2 linked regions of the Kluyveromyces lactis genome follow. The protein of the gene in region 1 interacts with the protein of each later gene in a pairwise test. Links are inferred from orthologs where the notes say so. Each region holds a gene or a part of one and is shown on either strand. Other genes may lie near its edges.

What was found.
Region 2: the proteins of RKM1 (region 1) and BCP1 interact in binary tests that used the Saccharomyces cerevisiae proteins (3 or more experiments, as listed by UniProt). The link is inferred for Kluyveromyces lactis from reciprocal best matches to the Saccharomyces cerevisiae genes RKM1 and BCP1.

The regions. Positions count from the first base shown.
Region 1 is NC_006038.1:206,961-211,065, forward strand, and holds RKM1 (protein-lysine N-methyltransferase), read left to right. Parts: upstream 1-1,723; coding exon 1,724-3,508; downstream 3,509-4,105. Other genes in the region: IPL1 (aurora kinase), read right to left, coding at 1-988; KLLA0_B02376g (uncharacterized protein), read left to right, coding at 3,917-4,105. UniProt on the Saccharomyces cerevisiae protein: S-adenosyl-L-methionine-dependent protein-lysine N-methyltransferase that monomethylates ribosomal protein S18 (RPS18A and RPS18B) at 'Lys-48' and dimethylates ribosomal protein L23 (RPL23A and RPL23B) at 'Lys-106' and 'Lys-110'.
Region 2 is NC_006041.1:1,911,588-1,914,497, forward strand, and holds BCP1 (protein-transporting protein BCP1), read left to right. Parts: upstream 1-1,343; coding exon 1,344-2,162; downstream 2,163-2,910. Other genes in the region: CTM1 (cytochrome c lysine N-methyltransferase), read right to left, coding at 1-761; EAF1 (Eaf1p), read left to right, coding at 2,662-2,910. UniProt on the Saccharomyces cerevisiae protein: Involved in nuclear export of the lipid kinase MSS4 and of the 60S ribosomal subunit. May also play a role in directing MSS4 to the plasma membrane. Plays a role in actin cytoskeleton organization and vesicular transport.

The sequences.
Region 1 (4,105 bases):
TTACAATGAGATCTCTTGCCTGCGGTGAAACATTTAGTGGGAACTTGAGATCGCACCTCAAAATTCTTCTATATGTCATTTCCTTTGTATCCTCCTCAAAAGGTGGCGATCCAACTAATAGCTCATAAGTTAGAACTCCTAGGGCCCAAACATCTACTTTATTGTTATATTCTCTAGATTTAATGAGCTCTGGTGAAAGGTAATCTATAGTTCCGCATAAAGTCTTCCTCTTTTGTCCATCCTCGTTATATACACTCCAACCGAAATCTGTCAGTTTGATAGTGTTGTTGAAACCAATTAAGATATTCTCCGGTTTTATATCTCTATGCAATATGTTTTTACTATGCATATAATCCAAGGCATTAGCCATTTGATAAACAAAATAGGATGCCAGCGTCTCATTCAAAGGCCCGTTATTCTTCAAAAATTTATATAGTTCTCCGTAATAGACATATTCCATAAGTAGATAAACCCGTTTTTCGTCGTAAAAGAATCCATATAGCTGTGTCAGATTTTTATGTTTGAACGAACCCTGAATTTCTACCTCCCTCCTGAACTGTTTCTGAATTGTATATTGAACAATTTCCTTCTTTTCCATCGCTTTTAAAGCACAAATTAGCCCCGTTTCCCTATGTTTAACGCAATAAACTTTACCAAACTTACCTTTACCTAAGATCTTACCTATTTCAAAGTCCTGAAGTGTCATGTTTTCAAACTTATCGTTGTGATCATTCAATATTGGTACGCGGGTACCATGCGCGGTGTTGGGTTTCTTTACCATTAGCGATCTTCTAGGATTGTTGTTCACTGGTCCAGTGCTCAACCTATGATGAGACGAGGTAATCGAGTCTTTTTCATGTGCGTGTCCTCGTGATAAGCTAGGTCGTTTTCCTGCATTACTTAGTCTTATCGATAATAGTTTACTCTGCTGTAACAATGAATGCCTTCTTCCTGTATCACTTGCATCCCTCGATAACGATGGTCTCATGTTCAATATATTAATCTTGATGTCTGATAGTACCGTTGCACATCCGCCGTCGGATCTTGACCTGGCTTTATGACACAGTTTTACACTCTTCAAGGTGACGTTCTTTAACCTGAATCAGATTCATTTCATTATTTACATTTTCCCTCTCCAAAGGTAAACAAACGGAATCCATTATAGTGAAGCAGAAGAAGACGTAGAAAGACATAGACCGCGATAGATCTAGTATAAAGCTATAGTTGTCAAGGCTAGGTGATTGCTTTTCACTTTTGTCATTTGTATGATATGCATAATGGGTCTTTTTGATTCTTGATGGACTTATCGTGTCCCCGTTCTAGCATGAGTTTTTACTGTAGGCGCTATGTCATGTAGTAATCATGTTTGACCAGAAATAAACTTTCATCATTTAAATTGAATCCATAGTTATCAGTGAAGAAATTTCAGTGTATTTAGGGTAGCACGAACTTGGTCGAAGTAATCCGTTGGGAAACTATAGATCAAGAGGAATAAAGAGGCCTCAAATCGGCTCTTTACGCCATGGTAGTGATGATTCAGCTCGCAGATCTTAAGGAAAAAAATGAAAGTTACCCTACCACACGCATTAGCGTAATATTTACGATAGATTACTGATGCACATGAGATGAGCCGTAAACTTCAAGGAGGACAACTATCTTGATCCAGGGGAATGCCTATCAAGTGCTCAAGTTTCGAAAGCTACACGACAAAGATATATTAATAATGGATAAATTGGACCAATTGCTGGCATTTGCCAAGGACAATGGAGTTTCACTTCCACAAAATGTTGGATTTAAGAACGTGGAGGGGAAGGGTATCTGTTGCATTGCTAGTGATGACATAGAGCAAGCTGTCTTTCAATTGCCCAGCCATCTGATAATTACCAAGGATCTTTCGAACAAACACTTTAGAGATCAAGTGAAAAGCAAAGAACATCACAATACATGGTTGAAACTGTTTTTGAGCAAGCTAAAGTTTTCAGATGAGATGATCATTTTGGATAATGAAAACATCACAAAGCTATTCAGACCATACATTATGGCTTTACCATCACAGGTAGATTCTCCGTTGGGATGGAATCCATCTGAGCTTGCTCTGCTGAATGGGACAAACCTTTACACATCTCTAAAGGAAAAGCTACAATCGATATACGACGAATGGTGGAATGTCATAGAGGGGACTTCTTTTCAAACGCGACAGTACAACATTGAACAGCTCAGTATTGATGAAATATACGAGCAAATAACGAGTAAAGTATTTTCTGAGAAGATTTTGGACTTCTTCTCTTTTCCAGCGTTCTTATGGTCTCATCTAATGTTTACTTCAAGAGCGTTCCCAGAGAGAGTAATAAACCCATATTGTGATGAATATAATGTGATATTATTACCAGTATTAGACCTTTTAAACCATGAGAATAGATCAAAGATTCAGTGGTCATGTTCCAGTGAAGGAAGTTTTATATTTGAAAAACTCGAACCAGTTTCAAAAGGAACTGAAATATGCAATAATTACGGTGCTAAAGGAAACGAAGAGTTATTATATGGATATGGATTCGTAGTCGATGGGAACGAATTCGATAACCTTGCATTGAAACTCAAGTTGCCTTTACCAGTAGTTGAGAAGATTTTAGCAGATGGTTCTGTATACCTTCCAACATTTGATGACTACACAACTTACGCTTTCGATACAGTAAAGGATACCCGTGGAAACCAGAAAAAGACAAACGATACCAAACCATTGAAAGCCCTGGAAAATTTTGCTGATGGAATCCTTTATTTTATCAATGCTGATCTAGAAAATTTGAAACCGTTAATGGATCTTTTCTCACTTCTGAGTAAAAACGATAATGAAAGTGCACTATCATTAAGATGCCAACTGACAGCACTACAATCGTTGAAGAATGCATTGAAACAAAAATTGTACCTAATAATTGATGCAGAACCATTGGAATCACAAAAGGATTATGCTACATGTGAATATAGGAAACAATGTGCGGCGATTTACAAATCCGGGCAAATCTCGATTCTAAAGGATTCTATCAATAATATAAAGAGGTTACAAAAACACATACTGACTGCCTACAAACCATATCTAGCAAGCATAAAGAGCATTATGAAACATGACCGGGATTTTCAGAAAGACTATCACGAACTATACGACCAAACCAACAATGCCGCACCGGCAGATTTAATAGATGAATTTGAATATGCAGTCGCCTGGTTGATGGTGAGAACTCAAAAGCTCGCACGCAGCAAAGAAGCTTCCGAATACCTCTGGGTACAAGATCAATTTACTAATTACTTCTCACATTACACCGAAGACTCTCAAATTTCTAACGCAGGAAAAAGTCTACATAACTATTTCTTCCCCAATGGTAACGATAGAATCTCAGTGAAAACCATGGACTGTATCGCAACTTTTATCAATAATGAGACGTTCCTCATGGAATCATCCGCTTCGAATTCTGTGCCAGTATTTACAAAGTGCATAGACATCCACTACTCCTAAACACTCGATAAAGATTTTAAGATATTATGACCTCTCCGGCTTGGGTGCCCATTTAATTGCCTGCTGAGTGAGCAATAACAAAATCACGTGACTTCAAATGCAAAAAAAGAAAAGAATAATTCGGAACCATCGACTGAACTGGTCTGACATCTTGATTCTATGTAACAGTATGAGTATTTAAACGACAGTTCCAAAATACGTTCCAGTACTCGATTTCGACAGCAAGGTATTTGTCTATTCGGAATAGATTTAATAGAAGCTCAAATCACGCTAACGAGGTTTCGCAGGTTGCTGTTAAGACTTTACTGTTTTTTTCGGGTGTTTGATTCTACTAGTCTTTTTCGCTTACTACACTTTGATCTCTTATTAAGGACACAAATCCATACATCGCAGAATATTAGGCCGACAATGAGTGTGATATCAGATTCTAGCGTAGCTTTGTTTAACAAAATTCCATCTGGTGCGGTACTCTCCGGTGTTGTACTTTGCTATCTGTTATCTGGTGGTAGAGTCTCCATATCTCTAGCTCTAATTATAAGCTTCTTCATCCTCAAGAAGCATAGTTTGGAAGTATCTGAGAGTGGTGATGAACTAGAG
Region 2 (2,910 bases), on another chromosome or scaffold:
ACAATATCATTAGTTCTAAGATCAATATCAAAGTGAGCATTTCTATGGTCATTGTCATGATTAACAAAGTCCAATAACGGGACCAAAGTTGGGCTGACAAAAAAATCATCAGTATCCTCTCCGGAGGATTCGGGTATCTCCAATATTCTGGAGATAACACTACAATAAACAGTGGATATTAATTTTTCATAGTTCATACCTAGAAACCTCGCTGATATGAAACGGTTTATAATTTCAATGAACAGTTGTTGAGGAAAGTTCAAGTACTCTTTGTAATATTGGTTCCACTTATCGGCATCTTCTTGAAAAGTATTGCAGGGAAGTGGGACAAAAGTCTTTAAAAGAACTTCGTTCAAGTAAAAAGATGCGAATCCAGTAAGTTTGTAAGTTTTATTATCTGAAAGAATAGCCTTTAGGACCAAATATATCACTATCAGGTTCGTTTCATTGATAAATGCGTGGTGATTTTCATCGCTTAAGAAAGCTGTCAAGTGGCCCTTTATGGAAGCAGTAACCGCATTTTCTGATGTACTTTTAGCCAATATGTCTCGTATCGATGTCATTGATATAGTAGCAGATCTCGGAATCCTGAGAAGTTCAAACTTACTGTCTTTCTCTCCTTTAAGTGTTCTTAATTTGGTGAAATTGACAAACACACCGTAACCGCCGGTGTCTCCATCAACCACTGACTCTCTGATAGTAGTACATTCACTCTTGGTTATGGGAGTATTCTCTAGTAGCCATTCAGTTGCTGCTTCCATCTTATATTGCTGTTTGTTTATGCTTGTTTATGGATATTATTGCATCATAATAATGGTACTCAAGCAAGCAGGATACTTTTTATATAATTCCATTGATATGACATAGAAGAAACGAAGCAAAAGGTTTTACAGTTTAATTTAGGTCAGGTTTGAGAGTTGATTTAAGTAGGGTGTATATATTGAGTAGTGCTTTGCAGTTGCACTTCGAGTCGCTAGTGATATGTTCCCAGAGGTATCTTAAATATGATCACGTGCTTCTAGATGAACCATGACTCCCCTACTGCAGTCTTCTAAAAGATAAAACTTAGGATTACCGTAATAGCAATTCGCTGTACACGATAACAACTGACAAGGGACTCGCTGATTGATATTTTAATTATCCCTTTCATTTTTACATTCTTGACAGCATCGCATGTCATCTTTACCTTTTCGAAAAGAAACTATTCTTTAAATTTGATGCAAACCTGCATTTGGCGAGCTCATCACTACTTTAGAATAGATTCGAGGAAGTTTCAAAGAGATAAACAATAGTTATTAGTTGGGCTTTATTAAACCAGCAACAACACTCTATTTTAGTCTGCAATGGTCCAGGTTGTTAAATTAAGTGCATTATCCAAGAAACGTGCAGTCGATGAGGAATCTGATCTTGACATATCAAGTACAGACTCAAATATTTCAGACCAAGAAAACGGTCAAGAGGAACAAGAAATCATCAACATCGATTTTGATTTCTTCAATGGTAATCCCGACGTTGATTTCCATGCTTTGAAGAATCTGATGCGTCAGTTGTTTGGACCACAGGAATCGAACAGAATTCAACTAAGTGAATTGGCAAATTTAATCTTGGACTCACCAACTACTACCATCAAAACCGATGGTAAGGAGTCTGACCCATACTGTTTCCTATCATTTATCGATTACAAGGCCAACAAAGATAGTGATTATGCCAAATATCTTCGTAAAGTTGACCCCAAGCTAGCTACTTTCCTACAAACTATAGATCAATCGGAGAAGACTTGTTCGTTAGTCTTGAGTGAAAGATTGATTAATATGCCACCAGAAGTTGTGCCGCCATTGTACACTATCACATTAGAAGATGTGAAGCTTGCGCTTGGGGATGATAAAAACTATGATTTCTACCTAATCGTTTCAAGGAAGTACGAAGTGAATTTTGATATGGACGAAGACGATCTAACATCGAACCAAGCTGTCCGCAAGAAGGTAAGACAAACAAACGAAGTAGACTATTTCCATGAAGAAGATCGTTTCCTTGAAAAGCTAGCCAAAGTCCATGTGGATTCCGAGGCGAGAAAGGGTCTTATTACATCGTACATGGTTTTGGACCATGCTGGACTAATTAAATCCATCGAAGATCTAGATGCGGCCATCAAGACCTGGTGAGTGATGTAAATGTTCAGTAGTTACATTGAGGAAGGTGATGATGGTATGTGGATTAATCCCGTTCTGGGAACCCAACAATTAACGCACGTGACCTGATCTTTAGTTACCCTCCTTACATGATTTCGGCCTCCCAAAAGAAAAAAAAATCTTTCAAGGAACAAAAAAATTGCTGAACAACATGAAATACGTACTTATATAGTAGAAATCGAGAAAACAAGCCGTAATACGGTAACAGAACAGGACCGTGAGAACACTATTCGACTCAGTTTCAAAAGTACCTGACACAGAAAAGCCTTGTTTGGTTGGACGATCCTGTTGTTTGTACAGAAGCGTGCTGTTTCCGAGACAAGCCCTCGCTAAAAGAAAAATCAGAGGACCCAGTTTCCTTTTTTTTTTTTTGGATATTTTCCTATCACTTGCCATTCAGACCGAAAGTTATATTTTTTCAACGTGACAGATATTCACAGAACATCTAATAGAAAGTAAGGATTTCAAGGCGATGAGCAGTGCAAGCAAAGGGAATGCTACTGGAAGTAAGAGCCCAGAGCAGCTCTTAGAGGAGAGACGGCACTTGCTAGTACAATTGTACTGTATCTCACAAATTACCGAGTTAAAAAACGTGGAGAATCATGAGAGAATAGGGAAGGAGATAGAAAAGTTTTTAGATCAACATACCTTGATCAAGGACAAGCCTATAGATATTAATGCATTGCCTAAGTTTAGGCCGAGAGACGTGTCGTCAGATAGG